Solanum lycopersicum: one gene and its partner. The protein of the gene in region 2 binds, or shares a complex with, the protein of the main gene of each other region. Links are inferred from orthologs where the notes say so. Each region holds a gene or a part of one and is shown on either strand. Other genes may lie near its edges.

Region 1 (10,215 bases), on a different chromosome or scaffold from region 2:
AAAAAAATTTTATAATGTTTTTAAAAAAATCTTACTTCACTCCCCACCCCCACCCTCTACCATAATGTATATTGATTAGATAATGATAATTTTTATGGTATCATTAAGCTTTCTTGTTCAGATATTGATCATTAGTCAATGAAATCGATACAATATACTATACGAATTTAGTATGAGTTAAGCGGAAATTATCAACCTTAATGAATGAGGAGTATGAGTTGTGACTTTTTTGAGAGAATGAATATTTCTTGAATTACTTCGGATTGAGGTATGAACATGTAACTATTTTGAATTTTATGGTCCATTTATGTAGTTTTTCCATAATAACATAAAATTTTTTTAGGGAAATTACGTGGTTAAGCAAACGTATACTAGTTAATTAGCTAACATAGTTATATTTGCAATAATTACAATTCGAAACTTAATTCTATATATAATTACGTTTTCTCTCCTGTCTCTCTCTCTCTCTCACCCCTCCTCTCTCTATGATCTCACTCGTTACTCTTTTTTTCAGTCATCGCTTCCTTGCCTCTCTCCTCTCCCTGCCTAGTCTCTCTCTCTTCTCTTATGTCAATCTCTCTCACTTCATATAAACACAAATGTATAATTGTGTTTGCATAAAGCGAAAAAGACAAGATATTAAAATATAAATACATAATTTCTCCGCCCTATACACTTATAATCATATAAATACAAATCCTCCATTGCTCTGTTCTCTTTTGTCTTTCTCTCTCACTTTGTTGAATATACAAATACAAATATTTTAACTCAATTCAATTATATGCAGATATATAAATGCAATAATTGATATATATATATATATATATATATATATATATATACACACACACACACACACACACACACAATTATCTAACCGATATACATTCACAATTCACCTCTCTCCACTCTTTGCCCTCTCTCTCTCTTGCCTGTCTCCTCCCTTTTCTAATCTCACTTGTATTTCTAAAAAAATAAAATTAATTTTTATGGGGGTTGTGAGTGGGTGGAGGACTGGTAGGGGTCTAGCAGGGGGGGGGGGTGTTAAGAGTTTAAAAATAAAAATTTGAATTTGAAAATATTTTTTTAAAAAGCAAAATTAATTTTTTGGGGAGGGGAGGGGGGGTCAGGAACCGTTGAAAAAATAAAATTTTGAACTTGAAATATTTTTTTAAAATTGATATTTTTCCCAAGAAAAAAAGTAATTTGAAATTGGAGGAGAGATTTGGAAAATATTTTTCTTAACTTTTGAAGGGAGGTCATTTTCCTTAATTTTGAGAAAAATGAGTTGATTTGTAAAACATTTTCCAAAACTTTTGTTTCAACCAAACATAGGGAAATTGAAAAACATTTCCTAGAAAATGTTTTCCTTCATACCAAACACACTCTAGGTATGTACTTACAAAAAAACGGATACAAGTTAAATGATGATTTTATATATTTTCTTGACAAATTTGTAGATAGGCAAAATACATAGGCAGGTCCCTAAAGTTGTTTGCACTTTTTCTCCAGATACCTCAACTAACCCAGATTCCTATTGAATCCTTTAACTCCCTATAATTTGATCCTATTAAATATTCTTGGCTGATGTGGAGCCAAATTTTAATAAATTATTTTTGATAATTGGGCGCGTGAGATAAACCTTTCCCACGTGAAAATTTTGACCAATACACTCCAACCCAATTACACGTCAGTGGCATATATTAAATCATCAAACCTAAAAATCAATTTCTCCTCAAAACACTTCTAACCCGTTTCTAAACAAGAAAACCCTAAGAATCTCTCCCTTTCAATGACTTTTACAGCTGAAATTCTTAGATTTTAAAGTGATTTCGAGTGTTTTGTTGAAGGAATCATCGAAGATTGTAGACGATTTTGGAGTTCATTCGCGATTTCCGAGTTGATGAGTGTGAGGTAAGTTCATTCCTTAATTTCTATGTAATTTTTATTGTTGTAGTGGTTGTGTGTTTTTAATATATGTGTTTAGCTTGTGTTTTTTTATTGATATATGCTGAGTTTTAGTATCAATGTGGTTGTTGTTAATATCTGGATAAAGTTAGTTTTTTTTTTAATTTTTATTATTAATAATGTGTTAGAAAAATTTTGGGGCTTTGTTTGAGAGAATCTTATGAACACCATTATTATAACTCGTTTTCATCATGGTGGTAAGTTTATTCAAGACAAAATTGAAATTACTTATAAAGGGAAAACTGAGGTGGAATATATTTATATCGACAAGGACCACTTCTCAATAATCGAGTTATTTTTTACACTAAACAATTGGGGTATATTATTGTTGGTGGATTCTGTGTTAAAGACCTCACAAAAAATGGTTTTATTGAGGTGGACACTGATTTCACTTTAGTAAATCTCATCAAAGACCTAAAAGATGGTGACTTTTTAGACCTTTATGTGAAACATATGGTAGATGATGTAGAAGTGGTCACAACGGGTTTGCTTTGTGGGTCTGTCGTTGAAGAAGATTTAGAAGATATAAATGTGACTGCAAGTGAAGGGTTGAATAATGAGGCTAAATATGAAAATGTTAATGTGGAAGTTGAGCCAGGGGATATATTAGATCTAGATGTGGAATGGACTGAATGAAATGAAGAAAGTAGTGATGACTCTCAAGAGGATGCTTTTCCTGATGTGGATGACTCTGAGGTTGATGAAGAAGTAAGATCTCTTAGAAATGAAAGGAGAAACAAAGTGAAAAAATAAAAACCTATTCAAACTGAGGAAATAAAGCTTGGAACAACTGGTATTAATAGAGGCTTTGAAGACATGGGAAGGAATAAGGCTGCTAGATACACTGGAAGATTAGGGGTGAAGCAATATATAGATAGCTCAGAATTGAACAGTAAAGACAATAGGAATGAATTGGATCCAGAATTTGTTAAGAGTGTTGATTTACCAAGTAGAAGAAAAAGTAAAAAGGTAAGATTTGATCCTGATTGTGTTGTAGCAATTTTTGAGCTTGGTATGGTATTTGAAAGTGTATACATAATTTTGTTCATTTCTTACTCTACTATATAAAGTCTCATTTTAAGATATTTCTATGCAGCTGGTACTTCAGGAGAAAAAATTATCAATTTGAGAGTTTATAAGGATGCAGCTCCAACAAATATTGATATTGGTTATAAGCCTCGAGGACTCAAGTGGAATGGTGGAGATGCTGTCACTGGTTCACAGTTGAAACAAATCACTTATTCAAGAAAAAACAAGCGTGGAACATCTAGTGCACCAAAGAATGCCTAATTTATGTAGAAAAATCACTTTTTGGTTGTGTAATTAGCAGCAGAAATTTGTATTGACTGCTTGAAACTTGAAGCTCACTAGAGCAAATTAATGGCATGAATGATCAATTTTTACTGCTTTTGAGGCATAAATTATCTACACTCCTTCAATTAAATCATTACAATAAAAACACAAGGCATTTACAATAGAAAAATCGATCAAAATTGTCCACAAAGAACTCTACAATCTACCATACATACTTTTATGAAGGAATCTAATTGAAGACAAATGAACCAACTAAGATCATTTTGTTACACAAATCCAAGTAGCCAATATCATCCCTACGATAATGCATATCATCCATATTTTTCTTGATCGATTCCTCTCCAATTCATATGTTTTGACTATTTTCGACAAACCCCATATCACCCTCCTAGCTTGAGCAGGCATTTCATCATCATACCATCGAAAATATCCACATCCACCTCGTGCCTACAAAATTAAAGAAAAAAATTGAATTATAAATAAGGTGATTCTTTACTATATTGGACAAAAAAAAGTGAATTTGATTTACCTTTGAAGTTTTGCAACAAAGGAATATACGTCCAGGATTGGATTGCGTCCATGAGATCTTCATTTTCACAACGTTCCCATATTGACATAGTACTTTCGCAGTTAAAGAAGAAGAAATCGATGAAGTAGATAAATTTGACATTGAAACTTGATGATTAAAAAGAAATCAATGAAAAAGAGATATAATATAATGAGCTAAAGAGGAGAAATAATGATGAAGAGAAACAAAAGAGGAGAAATAAGGGAAGAATGGGAGAAATTAGGATTAAAAGGGGGAAGAAAATCGTTGGTGGATGGTTCAAGATCCACATCAGCGCTTTTAAAGCGTCTGCACACGCTTAAAGGACGTGAGATCACGTTTGGCTCCACATTAGCCAAGAATATTTAAAAAGATCAAATTATAGGGGGTTAAAAGATTCAATAGGAATCTAGATTAGTTGAGGTAACTGGGAAAAACACGAACAACTTTAAAGACTTGCGTATGTATTTGACCCGTAGACATTTTTCCTCCAAAATGGATATGGAATTATGGATATTCAAATGGTATCAATGTAGCCCGACCCGCAATTCCATCAGGATTTTCAATTGACTGCTGACCTAATCCAATTTCCCCTTTTTCATTCTTTCTCCCCCCCAAAACAAATATCTTTGGCCATCCTCAACAATGGCCATCACCAATCTTTTATCCACCACCATTACACTCAAACACTCGCCATTTCTTCTACTGAAACCCTCAACAAAACTCAGAAACCCTAAAAGGCCAACAATTCGAGCTCAATCTAAGAACGACGACTCAGTAGATGGTCCAGATCGTTTAATCTCCGCCATAACTTACTTCTACCCTTTCTTTGATGGTGTTCAGTACGGTAAATATGTAATCACACAGTTTGCTCCAATACAAACACTTATTCAACCTTTAGTACCAGCTATAAGGGTTTTTAAGAGCTTTCCGCTTAACGGGTTGTTGGTTTTCTTTACACTCTACTTTATTGTTGTAAGAAATCCTAATTTTAGTAGATATGTCAGGTTCAACACTATGCAAGCTATTGTTCTTGATGTGCTTCTCATTTTTCCTGATTTGTTGGAGAGGAGTTTCAATCCAAGTGATGGGTTTGGGTTGGATTTGATGATGAGCTTTGATAGTACTGTGTTTTTGTTTCTTTTGGTATCTTTGGTTTATGGTACTTCGTCTTGCTTGTTGGGTCAGCTACCTAGATTGCCTATTGTTGCTGAAGCTGCTGATAGGCAAGTGCTATGAACTCGTAATTTTACTTGTTTATGAGGTTTCATCCTCTTTGTACACTTAATTATGTTTTGCTTTAGCTGACAATTAATATCTATTTCGTTCCGAAAGTAAATGTTTATGCTCTTTAGAGCCTTGTTCATGCATATCATTTTGCTGTTTCTTAATGTGGATATGTATATTCTTGTAATGGCATTTCGGTTTCTTTAATCAAGTAACTACTTTTTTTCTATGTATCTGCATTAACAAAAATATATAGAGGTATTTCTTTTTTATAACCGTAATGTCCTGGCGTACACCTCAACTATTTCATGGAATATCTTAACTGGAATTGTTCCAAGTGACTCTGCCCACTACAACTTAGGCAAATAGAAGATCTTATTGCCTCTGCATAGATTTGCACTTTCGTGTTGTGTAGTTTCGTTCCAGCTTCATGGACTTTGATGGCTTGCCATTGAGTGCCACAAAGGTGGTGATATTATCTACAAGTTCTGTCATTTTTTGATATGAAGATAGTTCAATCCCTATTTCTAGGTAACATGTTAGTTACATCACCATTCTTTTTTTTGGTTTTTGGATGAGGTAACATGTTACATCATCGGTATGTTGGTGTTTAAGGAAGAAATTCATGATCCTAGTAGCCAGTTGTATCATGATTTTAAGTAAGGGTCTCGTTTTGTATTATCTTGAAAAGGGCAAGTATGCAGAGATACACGGAAGTTAGGTATCAGGTTTTGATGTTATTCTTTGAGACAATTCGGATAATGTCCTCCACCCCAACCTAGAGCTTTCGCTAATTACAGAGACTTTGATGATTTACGTAAAGGTATTGGCATCTAGTATACACCTTCTTTATGTAAAATGCTAGTATGCCTCTCTGCCAGTACCTCTTCCATTTGTTGTATAGTAATTTTAAAAGTAGTTTACCCTTGGACAGAAAAACAATAAGCTAAAACTAGGACGGAAGAAATAATGCTCTTAATAGCTGCAGGTTTTATGAATCTGCATCTTTTTCTTATTTAGGAAACCTGGTCATCATATCAACCTTTAGATGGTAAATGTGTTGGGATGTTAAGATATTTTAGATGTTGATACTCAAACCCAAAAGGCAAATATTTGCTCCTTACTTGTAGGATATCCTTTTGTCCCTTCAATGGACTTGATTTCACCACTTCAATTTTCTGATTGAATAGTTGAGTGGTTGGCTAGTGGACATTCTTTGCCACCATGAATTATGAAATTATGACAAAAATGTCGATTATGTTTTCTGAAATCTATTCTTAGGTATTACATTGACATTAAGTATGTGGTTTTTATGACATTTAAATTGAGATTGTTGCGTACGGACTTTGAGGTCCAAGAAAAAGTCAAGCCTAAGTTGCTTGGACTCTTTTACTTTTGGCACCGCACCGGTGTCGACATGGCGTGGGTGTGAGATATGTACCCGAGCTGGTCAATGATTTCTGTGCACGAAACAAAACTAAGGTAAAATTGAGGAAAATGGAATACCTTGTATATATAAATTTCTATTGTCACTCCCTTTCCTTTTATCTCCTTCCAGGATTCTCCTCTCGATCAAGATTTTCTCCTCAAGTTTTCCACATAATATCTCATAATTTAGGTTTTATAACTTCATTTTTAGTTCTTTGAATTATTTGTAGACGAATCACCGCACCCATATCCATACATGGATTCGTATTCCCGGATCTAAAAATTTTGATCATAGAGGATCCGACCTCTGGTCGGGCACTCGCTCCTGAGTCCGAGCAACATAGAATCAAGCAACAAAGCAGAGTGTAAAGCTCTGCACATGGAACACCTCCATTTTTTCATGTAAAGGTCACTGCAATCTACAGCAACAACAACATACCAGTGTAAGTGAGGTTTTTGAGGAGGATAGAGTGTACACAGACCTAAAATCCCTACCTTGTGTGTGGTTGAAAGGTTGTTTCGGAAAAGCTCATTGCAATCTCATTCTTTAATGCAAGGATGCATAGGACTTGCACTATGTTGCTTTATTGTCAAACTGCTCTGGAAGCCAAAGATAAAAATTTCCCTGACATTATACTTTATAATATGAATACAGATTATGATACACATTTCTAATCTTATGCTAAGTCTGGTGCAGTCAAGTGATATAAACCTGAACTGTGTTCGTTTATTTCCTCTTACATCATTAGATATATCAACTTCCCTAGTGAATACATTAGATTGTTGTGCTAGTATGCTCATACCACATCAGTTCACCATATGGTTTGACTGACTATGAAAAGTTGAATCAAGTTTTCTAATTGAAGTTTCTAGGGATGACAAATGGTGCAGGGCAGGATGATTGCTTACAGATTCCATTATTGAAAATAATAGTAGTAATAAACAAAGATGGAATTAATAACAAAGTTTTTGGTGCAGCTTTGCAAAAAGAAATCGATAGCCATGACACGCAAAACCTAGCACAAGCCACGGCGCTTTGGCTTCCCCTGTCGGTAGAGGCCTCAGTGGAATCACGTGGCATTATATTACTTGGGACATACTTGACAGCTACAACTTTTATTTTCTTTCTCCTCTTATTTGGGCATATATAAGATGCTCATTTCATTCTATTCCTATTTATTTTTCTTCTTTGGAGCCTACATTGATGCGGTGACTAAATTCGAATCACGAGTCTTATTTGGAAATGGCACTCCCTAAATAGATTTTTTTTCATCTGATACATTTGATAAAGGGTGAAACAGTTCTGCTAATGGAACATATGTTTTGTTCATTGGATACCTTTTTTTATTATTCCCCACTTGTTTAAACAAACTCTTGATGAGAAAGTAACTATTTCCTCAGTCCAAATTTATATGACTCATTTTATGTAAAGGAAATTCGTAGTTGATATCTTTTTGGGTGCGCACAGGGTAAAACTTCGCTTCTATTCAATAGCTCGCAAATCACATAGGAGAGGTAACCCGCACTAGACAAGTTTGGTGTGACGAGCTCGATCCATAATGCAAATCCCTTGCTTTCTCTGGCAAGGAGTTTCGAATTTGAGACCTTCAACATGGAAATCCCAAGCTCAAACCACTGGGCTACCCCAAAGGGTCTCATTTTATGTTTTGAGAGTCAAAACATTTTAAGTTTGATCGAAAAAATTTGCGCATGGAATCTTCAATTTTTTTGAAATGAGATTTATATATTTGTAAACTACGTAAAAAGTAATATGAGTCACAATAATTGATAATTCAAAATGTTTAATAGATCTATGAAAAATTTACGATAAAAAATAGAGTTGTTTGACTCTTGAAATTTAAAAGTTGATATATAAAATGAGACGGAGGTAGTATTTCATAATAGTCAAATATTTCATTCATTCCAAACAAGTGACACAAATAAAGAAAAACAATTAGATTAAATTATATATATAAATTTAGTTGGACATTTTCATGTTCAATACTCATTATTGGTACACCTTCCAATTCAGACAAAATCTTCTTATAATTTAATCTGACGGGCATAACTTATTTTAAAGTATATTTGGTCTCATCTACGTACTCTTCCTAATTGAGTGAATAAAATACAAGTGTTATAGCTAGGTTTGTTGATATAAACATATATCACAAATTAAATCAAAATTATAGTTTGAAAAATAAAATGATAAAATATAAAAAGTATTGTAACTGAGGTGTGAATCTAGTTCTCTTTAAAGAAACTTAAATTCATTGTGACATAATCTACACAGATTTAACAATGTAACTCTCGACTTGTCCTCTCCAATATACAATAATCCAACAATGTCGCGTGCGACAAACAATTCCGCATTAATTGAAGAGTACAAGACTTCACCAAAGAAACCCTTTCTTCGATATAAAATTACTCTCTTTATAGTAGTGAATCAGTTAAAGATTTTTTTCTTTCTCCCAACTCTCTCTTCACTACACTGACCTCAATATAAACGAAACATACTACTTGTAATTTTTTTCTTGTTTTTCTATTCCAAACACAAGGAAGAAAACATCTTTTATATAGTAGTAGAATTCTTCCACGAATAAATGTCAAGAAAATAGATAGTCATTTGAAGATGGGAGAAATGAAATTGTTAATTTGTTGATAATGGTGCTATCATTGTACATGTTTTGATAGTCGAAATTTGAAAAAATTGATTGAACTTTAGTCGTATGTAGCTGAAATAAAAAACAAAAATAATTTCACTTTAATTCATGTATCTAAAGTGCAAGTAAACATATATGAACTTCAGTTGTATGTAATTGAAGTTCAATAATGTATGTGACCTACTAATTTCATATAAAATTTGCGATTTCAAACACAAAAAGTTTATCAACTTCAATTCCATATGTCCGTAGTTATATGTGAATAAGAAATTAAATTTTAAACTAAGGCATAAACAACTACCAAAATAAGATATTTATGCATTTCCTCCTAGCTCGAAGGGCGAGTAATGGAGCCACTAATTTAGCCTAAAAGATGACAAGCTCAAAGTTACAATAATAATAATAATAATAATAATTATTATTATTATATATAAATAACAATATAATATAATATTTTGCTTGTCTCAATTTAATATATAGTTTAAGAATTAAAGAAAGATTTTTAAAATTTGTGATTTAAAATTAGTTATTAATGTTTATGCGACTATAAATCATTTCATTGAAGATTTATTTCATTTTCTTAAAATCCGAGTAAAAAAGAATAGTGAAATATACAAATTGAAATAATTAAAAAAGAAAATATTCTTAGGACCCTTTGGGCCATAGATTTTTCAAGTAAAATTTGAGAAAAAAATTTAGCAAATAGTGTTTGTCCATACAATTCACCATTATTTAGTAAATATAATTGGCAAATAATCAAAATTTTCAAATGCTAGAAAAAATTAGTATTTGGGTCAAGTCTCATTATTCAGATATTTTTAATAATTCAAATTATACGCCAAACTTTTATCTTTTACAACAACATCCTCTATAATAGTTATTTGCATTGTTTTACATAATCATCTACGTGAACATCAAATGGAATATCAGTGAATATGAAAGTGATGATATGATTGTTGATATAATGATGAACAATCAGCTTAGAGTAACAAAGTCATCATATCATACAAATCTATAGTTAGTTTTGATAATTTTTTAAAAATTATGAGTATAAATCATATTTCTTACAAA
Region 2 (11,379 bases):
TTCTCCAAAATCTAGAGTTTTTTAACTTAAAAGAGATGATACTAGATCAAGTTCTAAGATCACATGATGTGCATGTTATTTGGGATCTCAAATTTATGAAGGAAATTTTGGGATTGGGACATAGTGGAGTTCCAAAGTCTATTGAAATACTCTACAAGCAAATTTACTGGTAGAGAGCCATGACAATTGGGTGTTAGATAGCAGGAGTCTATTTTTCAGTGAAAAGTTGCTACTGTAAGGTGCTAGCTAGAGCGAAGTTGGATTTCCCTCATCTGTTTGGACGTCTAGAGCTCTTGGAAAGGCTGTTTGTTTGCTTAGAGGATGCGAATTTGACAACCAAAAACTTGAAAAGAGGAGGATTACTTATGTTAGTTAATGCTTCATGTGTGAACCCTTGTGTAGGACATGGGATATCTCTTACTACAATGCTAGTTAGCATCTAAGTTTCTCATACTCTTCACTTTCGGTGCCGCACCCGTGTCGACACAATGTGGGTGTGGGTGTGGGTGTGTCTGGTCATCTAGTTTTGGGTACTTTGACCAAATTCAAGGGAGAAATTCAGGACAGATTCAATGGTTTATATAATCAAAACAAAAGCTAAGGTGAAATTGAAGAAAATGAAATACCTTTGTATATATAGATTTCTATTGTCACTCCCTTACCTTTTATTTCCCTTCAGGATCTCCTCTTGATCAATATTTCGTCTCAAGTTCTCCACAAATTATTTCATAATTTAGGTTTTATAACTCTATTAGTTGATATTTGAATTTTTTTTAGCTAAATCTCCGCACCTGTATCCATGTATGGATTTGTATCCCCGATTCTTAATATTTTGATCATAGAGGATCTGACCTCTAGATCCACACCTGTATCAGACACCTGCACCCAATTCTGAGCAACTTAGGTTAGCATCACATTTTTGAGAGCTTTTTCTATTGTTCGGGATACAATGATTTGGGTGCTGTGAAGGATGCATTATTTAGTTGGGCCATTAGAGAAGTGAAAAGAAGATGCCAAACGTGGGATGTATCTCCAATAGTACTAGTGTGGATAGCATTACGGGAAAGACGGAGATTTGAAAGGAAAGGCACAACTTTGTATATCTGAGGGGTAACTTCCTGCTTTTGATTTACTCTTGGTGCACCTATGAGGGTTCCAATTTGTGTAGTATCATTGGTGTCTTTCGTAGCGAGTCGTATCTTCTGTTGATTCTCTACTTCTGGGAATACTTCTATGCAGAAGTGTTCTCATTGTCAATATTATTATACCTGATCAAGTAAACATAAATTATTGGATGGTTCTTGTTCATTAAATTCATTCACATCATGTTTACATGGGTAGCTTCTACAAATTCGGTATGTTTTATATCAAGCTAGACTGCCAAATTAGAGAAAGCCTGTGTTGTCGGAGTGGAAAAGATTATACATATTGAAGGGTAAAACCACTTTATCCTGGATGTAATCACTTTTCTTGTCCCAAATTTCTGATAGATTATATCATTTAGTGATCCATTGTTATATTCTTGCTAATAATTATGCTGCTGCTTACCCTTCCTTCAATGTGTTCTATGCAGTGCTGGGAAAATCAGGGAGGGGTTCTTTTGCTAGCACTACAACTTCAGGTGGCAAACAGACTTCTTCAGTTGGTGTAAATCCACAATTTTCAGCTCCATCACCACCATCTCAAGTGTAATAATTTGTATTATCCCCGATTTAATTTGAATCTTCTTGTATATAATCTAACCTATCAGTTTCTTGCTTTACATGTTTCTGTTATTGTGTTTCTATCTGCATTAGCACCTCTTGATTTGCTTACTTATTTCTTGTTATTTGTCGTCTACAGGGGGTCTCCTCTTTTTTGGATTGGAGTTGGTGTTGGTTTTTCAGCACTTTTCGCATGGGTGAGAAGGAGAATTTTTTTAATTTTATTGGTTACACTCTTGTTTCATTTTTTTTACTGACTCGTTACTTTTCACTGTTTTTTCTGAAATATATTGCAGGTGGCTTCATACCTAAAGGCAAGTACTTCTTAAGTGAGGTGTAATTATATTTTGCAGGAATCTGATGCTTATCTCACTCTGTTTCTTATAGGGCTACTATCAGAGTGGCAGCTAAGAGAATTTGGACTTTTGAGAAAATATGAATTTTAACTTATCGATAATATGACATGCACATGATGAAACATACCTCGTATGTTATGAGCAGTACTGTTAAGAGGATTGACCACATATTAAGAAAAAGGACCAACAAAGCAGATACAGAAGATAAGAATGACCATTCATCAGTTGATGGTATCTGTAATTACAAAATTAATAATGATGAGCACATCAACCTAGAATACTTCTGAAATTAACTAGGGCATCACTGTGGAATATGCTTTCGATGTTTACTAATTAAATCATGCTACGCCATCACAATCTGGTATTGAGAGGCCAGCCATTTTCTTATTTTTTTAAAAAAAACTATTTTGCTATACTTGTCTGTTCTTTTAGAGTCCGTAACTCTTGCTGTTACATTTAGTTGATTTCTTTCTTCTTGTTTTCTGTGAGTTTAAAGATAAATTCAATGGCTATCCTCCTTTTAAACACCTAAATATTTCTGCTAATGAGTCTCTGTGCATTATAGATACAATAGTTGCACAGGAAAACATAAAATAAGATTGCTTGTTTAAGGTGCCTTCTTTTTTACTCTCTATGGCGGAAAATCGTGTTTTAAACTTCTTTCATATTCTTCATGTTTCAAATGTTTTGGTTTTTAATTGTACGTGGGTATATTTCTTTGTTTCCTATGTGGAGGCCAATGAGTGCAGCTACAAAAATTCGATAAAGCCCGACCCTTCATGTGTGTTAACTATTTCTGCATGTTGTTTTCCATGCTTCCAGAAGTACGCTATGCAGCAAGCGCTCAAAACAATGATGGGACAAATGAATGGCCAGAATAGTCAGTTTAGCAACACTGCCTTTTCACCTGGACCTGGGTCACCTTTTCCTTTTCCATTCCCACCACCTCCAGTGTCCGGTCCAGCTAGTTCATCACCTCCACCACCTACTGCATCTAGCTCATCTACACCATCAGCTTCATTTGCATCTCAGCCAGTGACTGTTGATGTATCCGCAACTAAAGTGGAGGAACCTCCCACTGTCAATGTCAAAAATGATAAAGAGGCTGAAAAGGAGCCAAAGAAAAATGGTACCTAATATTTGCATTCTAAATATCATTTATATCTGGTTCTAGTACTTGTTTGTCTTTTCCTTTCATATAGAAAAACAGCAAATCTTGCAAGAAGGCATGTTCATCTAAAGCCTCTTGACATTTACCTTTGAATAGACCTTGTTAATGTCATGCTTTGATCACCCTTAACGTTGGTTTATCTCAATAAACTGAAGGATACTAGAGTATATCAGTGAGATAATTAAACTATTTTAAATGAGTGAGCTCACCACTAAATTTTAAGATTAAGCAATTTAGCTGTTGATCTTAAAAACACCAAAACATCAACCATCTACATAACATTCTTGAAGGAATTTGGAGTGTCATGATGTGATCCTTTGTGATCTTCTGAGCTTTTATATGGAAATTCATCTTTTCTGTTCTTTCTTATTTTCAAAGTATTTCTCACCCAAAACCACTTGCCATCTCTTTCATGCATAAAGTCACTATCACACAATATTGCTATGCTGGCACTCTGCAAGGGTATCCCCTAAGTTTGAATTAAGAAAAGTGTAATCCCCCCAAGTCATAGCCATTTTAATCCTAAGTATCCCTAGAAATCTAACCTCCTCATGTATCATTAGAACCCCTTGCTGATAACGGGGAGGGGAAGGCTGGTTTGGGAGAAAAGCTTACATTGAAGTGCAGGGAAACCCAATTTAAATAAAAGGAATGAGCAGGAGGAAGGTACCACTTCAATTTCTGTGAGGTTAATTCGTTTCAAGTATTTAACAAATTTTTATTTGTGTCTCGATCATCAAAAGTTTTTTTCTTTTCTTTTGCTAATCAAATAGATTACTGGCCTGACTTCCACAACAGTTCTTGACCAAAGCTAAGTTTAGACTCCACTAATATCCCAGAATAACGATCTCCTCAAAAAAGAATAGTAGGATGCTTTGCGGAAACAAAACTGATTTGTAACTTGTATCCTCCTTTGACATCTTTCTTAAATGCCAAGAACCATCGTGGACCAGTAGAAATTAATACCTGGGTTTAGTTGTAGTGGGACCTGAGCAGTTTTGTTCTAAATCATATTTACAAAAATGCTAATGCTTCCCTAGTTAGAACCACCTTTTTGCGATAGTGATACACTTTGTATTACTCTTATGAAATGTTCAGATTTTCTGGTTATGAACTCATGATATTAACTATGTGAATTAAACTTTTTGCAGCTTTTGTTGACATTTCTCCTGATGAAACATTCCAGAAGGGTGCCTTTGAAAATTTTAAGGACTCAGCTGAGACAGCTTCGGTAACTGTTGATCAGGTCGGTTGGTAGCTATTATCTGGGAATATGGTGTCGTTAGGGGTGTCAAATGGGCGCGTTGGGTTGAAATTGGAGATATTAAATGGGTTGAAATAGATATTGGGTTTGGGTCCTGACCCGCCCAAGTTTACTTTGGGTTCCAATGGGCTTAAAAACAGGTTGAGTCTTGACCCACCCAATTTTTCCCGCTTAATTCAACAATTTTAATGTATTGTTATTTAAGTTATATAACTACAATTTGAATTTCAACTAAAGAAAATTTTAAAAAAGAAGTGACAAATGGATAGATAAATCCGATAAGATATAAAATAGATAGTAATCCATACCTTTAATATAGGAACATACATTACAACAATGCAAATAAAGAGTCTTAAAACGGGTTGAAATTGGAGATTAAATTGGCCTCAATTGAGGATTCTCTTAAATGGGTTAGGACTTGAATGGGTTGGGATTGAATTCAATTGAAATTATCTTGTGCCCAACCCTCAAAATTATGGGCGGGTTACCTACAATTGTGCTCAATTTTGACACCTGTAGGTGTCGTCTAACAATTGCACTTCAATAATATTTTTTGAATCTCTATTAGGTAACTCAAAATGGAGCTGCTTCACAGTCGGGATTTGGTTCAAATACATCTGACAGTACCTCATCAACGGGTAAATCACTTGCTGGTTGGCCCTCATAGCTGTTGTACTACGAATGTCATTCAAGCATCAGGATTGGATGCATGTTCCTATCTTCTTACTCATGTTTTTATTGGTCATTTTCCTCTTTTCCTTCTTTTTCAATCATTATTTCTATGAGTTTATGAATCTTGCAATAGATAATAAAGATGGATTCATGGACATACTTCATAGCTACGTAGATCCTCCCTTTTAGCCTATTGGGTGGTTTGGAGGATGTGGTAAGCTGTGAATCATGCCCAAGGTGGTTAAACTATGAAGTGCATAATGCCCAACAAAATGAAATGAGGTTGTATGTTCCATAATCTGGTGGGGAAAATACATTCTGGGGTCTTTTTCTATTTAGGAAAAAATGGGGAGAAAGCCCAGTTTCTTGTCCAATTGCAGTATGTTTGTAGCATAATATAGATACGTAATGGTATTTTGGTGAATCTCCAGGGTGTAAGACTCCAAGAAATGGCATAATGTTAGTACTTTTTGTGTTTTCAATGCTATCCTTTTGAGTCCAACAAAAGGCTAAAGGCCGCATTATCATTGTAATGCACACATATGTATGTACAAATAAAATTTGGAAGTGGGTAAAAACTTGAAGTCAATAATCCATGTTGTAGGAGATATTGCATGAGATACAGACAAATGAGGTTCAGAAAAGAAAGATGAACATCCAGACAGAAGCTGTGACTTTGTAATGACCCGAATATTGTGTCCCGACTCCTGTGGGAACTTGAATAGAACTTCCTACATCCTAAAAAATGCTAAGTGCTCTAGCAGACATGTTTTACGAAAGAATGGCCTATTTCTTACAGATTTCATGGAACTCTCTGTCCATAAACTTGTTTTGAGGTTGGAGGTTTTGAGTGATAAATAGTCCAGCTTTATTGGTCATATCTGTTTATTAGTAAAATGTTGTGTGTAACTTTACTTGGGCCTAATTCTCCTTCATGCTTTCTTCTTATGAAAAAACAAATTGCTTCATGCTCTCTTCTCTCAGCTACAAGTAATTTTGCATGATCTGCTTTCTTGAACAGGAAAATCTAATCCTCTATTGTCGGTGGATGCTCTGGAGAAAATGATGGAAGATCCAACAGTGCAGAAGATGGTTTACCCGTAAGATAGCATCTACCTTTTCTGTTATATTCTATGAGTTGTGTTGGATTATCTTGAATATTTGCTGATATCTTTGATCACTTAGCATTCCGATTTATGATAATGGAACTCTAGTTTCAGTTACACCATGTTACTATGTACTGTGTTATAAATAAAATTGTATTGCACTTCTAATGGAATCAAAATTCTTTTGTTGAGATTTAGTTTTGAACCTCTCTAAAGCATTGCAGGGAAAATGTCATTCCATCAGTACTGTGTTTAATTGAATAGGTTTTTATAGTATGCTGTAGACTACTGTGGTAAAGATGGAAGGAAGTGAACTAATATGAGATTTGGGATGCTTAATTGATGTTTTAAAGAAGATTTTGGATGGACTCAAGAGAGCAGGACTTGGAGCATTATACCTTATTTCAGACAGATGGTAGGTAGTTAGTTGAAAATAATAAAGATGTGGAATGTACTTTTGAGAATGACTGGAAAAGTGTAATTAAGGTAACTTCGAGTTAATTGGCTAATGTATAGTCCTTATTAGAAATTTGCTTGTGCATATTAAAGTCTACTATATATTATACGGGTTTGCTACAGCGTATTCTAGTTTTTTTTTTTTTTTAAAGCTTATGGAGAAGGAAACGTTCTAATTGTTTGTTTCCTGCAAAGTATTAATCTAAAGTGACATTTCTCTTCTATGTTAAATCTATTTTGCTTTTCTTGTGAACACAACCAGACCTCTCATCTTATTCTCATGTGACATATAGTTTTTGTGTATAAACTAGTTGTGCTTTATTTTGATGAGAACTCAACCTTCTATTCTGTGTTTGTGCAGCTATCTACCCGAGGAGATGAGGAACCCTACAACATTTAAATGTGAGCTGTCATCTGAAGCACTTTCCTAGGAAATCTGAATTTTCCAGTACTCCTTTTCATAAAAAAAAATAATAATAATAAAAAAAAAATTAAAAAAAAAAAAAAACTACTGATGGATTCCTAGAAGGATGTAAATGCTGACAAGTACATCTAGTATATATTGTCTATGCTTTGCAACTTTTCTTACTAGTGTTTTTTTGCATTAGATGTGCTTAGCCAACTCATGATTCAGGTTTTAGAGTAAAATTCATTTCCTCTTTTATCATTGACTGTTTGTCTGAATTGCTATGTTGTAGGACAAATCAAGAACAAGAGTTAAATGCCATTAATTATTTATTCCTGTCCTCTTCTTATCAAAAATACTTGTCATTCTGGTTTCTTGTGACTCAACTTTACTACCTTTATGGTTCATTGCTATAAGTTTTTCAAACTCTTTTCATCTTCTTCCTCTATCAGATAAAACTAAAAGGTCTTGCATTTAATTTGATCACAGGGATGCTACAAAATCCACAATACCGTCAACAGTTGCAGGACATGATGTAAGTCTGGTTCAATTATCTTTCAAGTGCATATTTCTTTATTAAGATTACCATTCTCAAGTGCATATTTCTTTGTTCCATGCCAAAATGCATTACTTGTATATCATTTACTTTTCTAAATTTTCTGTTTGATTATCATATTTATATCAGTAGCATATCCATCCACTGAGTTTTACCATAAGCACTGTCTCAAAGGCTGTTTGGATAGGAACTTATGCCATTCATATAACTTGTTTAAGTGTTAGGAAAACTACTCTTGGTGTGACTCTGCTGTATCTGAACTGCTTCATTTTCCCCCTTCCACATACTACTTTTTGTTTACTGGAGTAACCAGTTCCTTTTGAATTTGTGCAAATGAGACCTGACTTTTTCTTCTGCCTGCATGGGGTTAAAATTCTCATCTTGAATGAGAATATTCCATTCCGATGTATGTATGACACTGGTATACACTGGACCCTAATTGGTAGTTTTCATCTTGTTGATTCTTGTCCATCTGATTGCATTTCTAGTTTAGATTAGAACAATGCAAAGCTGTAAATGATTCTTGTACACACATATCAAATGATACCAGTTATCTGTCTGGAATCAAATATTCGTTGGACTACCTACTTTGGTCAGGCTGCTCACAATTCTGCATTTTTGGTGTTGTTCGTTTCTCAGTTTGAAAAGAAAGAAATGAAAAAGAATAGAAAAGAAGAGAACATGGAAAGAAACAGACATGTTGAATCATTTGCCTTTTTTGGCTAACGAGGATTTCGTGTTAAATACTTCTCTTTTGCACCTATGAAAAACTTATCAGGGTTTCCATCATTTGCCCCATTCCAGGAATAACATGGGTGGAAACCCAGAATGGGACAACCGCATGATGGATTCCTTGAAGAATTTTGATCTCAGCAGCCCTGAAATCAAGCAACAATTTGGTAAGTTAGAGTGGTTATATTGTTCTTTTCCTGATCTATTTGCAAAAATAGTAGTGTCTGCAGCCCACTAATCTGGAGGGGGAGGGTGGGGGATAAGAGAGTCTTAGACAATAGCTGAATTCCACTGAGCATCAACATATATTTTTAATTTTCTCCATTTGATCAACAAAGTCATTACTAATACATATAGTTGAACATATGGTAATAGGTGATGGATGACTTCAACAAATACCAGAATTAGGGGTGGCGAATGTACTATTTGGGTTAATTTTGGCGGGTCAATGAATGGGTCATTGCCCAACCATGCCCAATGTTTACCTGGGCTAAGATGCGCCAAACAATGTATCATAGAACAACCAGCCCAACATGAGCACACATGTGTAGGGAAATACTAGTAAATGTTATATCAGGAGGGAGAAATCTTTTTGTAGTTATAACATGTCAGGAAGACCTCCTTTAATGGTACAAACAGTTGCTATAGCCAAAACTATCAAATGATATGATCTGTATTTTTCTTTGTTTGTTATTTTTATGGTTGCAGATCAGATAGGACTTACTCCCGAGGAAGTCATTTCGAAGATTATGGCTAATCCTGATGTTGCCATGGCTTTCCAAAATCCAAGAGTTCAAGCAGCCATCATGGATGTATGCACTTGTTGCCCCCTTTCACGCCACCCCATCCCACTTCCCACCCCCATTATATCCTCTTGAATTTGTTGAAGTTCCAAAAAGCATATATTTGAATAATCATAGAAGAGATATGACACACATTTATTATTGCTTGAAATGTTGATGCACGCTGACTTTTATTTTTATTGCAGTGTTCTCAGAATCCACTGAGTATTGCAAAATACCAAAATGACAAGGAGGTAAGAACGTAATTTCATCTTTAACATGTCTTCTTGATATATCGATCTAAATTTGAGTAAGAAGTCTGTACTTGTTATTGACTAAGTTGCATTTTGCTTCAGTAATTAATACTAGAGATCAGTAAGATGCATCAGTTAGACAGTTTTGAGTGATAACTTTTGGTTCTTACTTCATCTTATGTTTGCCCAGTATAGCACAAATTCAATGTTTACATACTCGTTACTATGATTATTATGTTGACTAAATAGACGGAGGTTCAACTGCATATTATGTTGCATGTACGTGTATATATTTGATAAATACCTAATACATATAGTTGAACATATGATTATAGGTGATGGACGTCTTCAATAAAATATCAGAACTATTCCCTGGGGTGTCAGGTGCGCCTTGATTATCTCCGTCCTGCCTAAGCAGCTATTATGTGACAACGCTGTCATTTTTGTTCTGTTTGAGTGAAGTATCAGTCAGAATTGTTGGGCTCTGAGATGTAGTTTTCGCCCTCTGTTGCAACTCGGATGCACATGAAAACGTCGCTTCCTTTATATAAATTCATTGCCCTTCTCAAATTTTGTGGATGTGAACATACTTGCCTTGGCTTACCAGTAGTCTTTAGAAGCCAATTTCAGTTGTATATTTGCCAGTTTCTTTATGGTTTTAGAGTTACTTAAGCTTATTCAACTGTATGATTTGATGAAACGGAGGAATAAAAATTTTATTTAATAATTACTTCAATTATGAAGTTATCGCTTCTAGTTACTCAGTTGAATTTTCTGGATTTTTTAATTTTAAATTCAAGTTGATTTTATATTTAAAAGAAATGGATATTTTCTTGCTTGAGGAAGTGTAAGGATGTGCAGAAGATAATAAAGGTGGATGAGAGTGAGGTGGTGCGGGGGTGGATAAGAACTAGGAAAATAAGAAGGGAGTTAGAGTGTGTTTGGTAGGAAAGGAAAATGTTTTCCCGCAAAATAAGTAGATTTTTTACTTATTTTCTCATGTTTGGTTGGTCATTAAAAATTATATTTTGAAAAAGATTTTCAGTGTATTATGAATGAAAAATATTTTTTATTTTACTAGTGCGGAAAATAATTTTTTAAAATAAATTTTATTTCTTTTGGGGGGGAGGGGGTGTGAGATAGGGTAAAATAATAAAAAATTGAAATTGAAAATATTTTTTAAAAACAAAGTTTTTTTTGGGAGGGAGTGGGGGGGGGGGGGGGGGGTTGCCGGTAGGAGTGGGTGGGGTGAAAAAAATTGAAAATATGTTTAAAAATAAATTAAAAATTATTTTTTTTTGGTGGGGGGAGGGGGATGCTGGTGCTGGTTTGTGTGTGTGGGGGGTGGGGGGGTTAGTGGTGAGGGTGGGGTGAAAAAAATTGAAGCTGATTTTTTTTTAAAAAAAAAAACAAACTCAAAATTCTTTTTTTTTGGGAGGGGGTGGGGGCTGATGAGTAGGAACGAGGGGTTGGGTTGGGGTGAAAAAGTAAAATTAGAAATTAGAAATATTTTCTAAACCAAATTACAATTTTTTTTGGGGGGGGGGGGGGGAGCAGGGGTGAGGTTGAGGGTGGGATGAAAAAAAAATTGAACTCCAATATACTTTTTTTAAATAATTTTTAAATTTGTTCAACAATCAATTTTTTTTTTAAAAAAAAAAAATGTAATTTGAAGTTGGAGAAGAGTTTTGTACAATGTTTTTCTGAATTTTTGAAGGAAAATCATTTTCCTTAAAATCGAGGAAAATGAGTTGATTTAAAAAATATTTTTCAAAACTTTTAAACCAATCAAGTATATGGAAATTAAAAAATATTTTCATATTTTTCTTCATACCAAATACATCCTTAAGATATGTTTATTTTACTATACTTTTATGTGTCATTATAAAATGATATGAAATCTCACATGTAGCCAATCAAT

What was found. The genes of interacting proteins can lie anywhere in the genome.
Region 1: protein TIC 40, chloroplastic (region 2) and protein TIC 20-v, chloroplastic share a complex: the UniProt entries of both Arabidopsis thaliana proteins name them as parts of the tic complex. The link is inferred for Solanum lycopersicum from reciprocal best matches to the Arabidopsis thaliana genes TIC40 and Tic20-V.

What each region holds. Positions count from the first base shown.
Region 1 is NC_090811.1:6,209,467-6,219,681, forward strand, and holds protein TIC 20-v, chloroplastic, read left to right. Parts: upstream 1-4,398; 5' UTR 4,399-4,474; coding exon 4,475-5,068; 3' UTR 5,069-5,285; downstream 5,286-10,215. UniProt on the Arabidopsis thaliana protein: May be involved in protein precursor import into chloroplasts. Not redundant with TIC20-I, TIC20-II or TIC20-IV.
Region 2 is NC_090810.1:11,542,341-11,553,719, reverse strand, and holds the end of protein TIC 40, chloroplastic, read left to right. Parts: intron 1-1,573; coding exon 1,574-1,688; intron 1,689-1,842; coding exon 1,843-1,900; intron 1,901-1,999; coding exon 2,000-2,017; intron 2,018-2,881; coding exon 2,882-3,188; intron 3,189-4,381; coding exon 4,382-4,476; intron 4,477-5,062; coding exon 5,063-5,132; intron 5,133-6,187; coding exon 6,188-6,266; intron 6,267-7,089; coding exon 7,090-7,130; intron 7,131-7,623; coding exon 7,624-7,669; intron 7,670-8,494; coding exon 8,495-8,589; intron 8,590-9,130; coding exon 9,131-9,234; intron 9,235-9,410; coding exon 9,411-9,458; intron 9,459-9,793; coding exon 9,794-9,853; 3' UTR 9,854-10,218; downstream 10,219-11,379. UniProt on the Arabidopsis thaliana protein: Involved in protein precursor import into chloroplasts. Part of the motor complex consisting of a co-chaperone (TIC40) and a chaperone (HSP93) associated with the import channel (TIC110).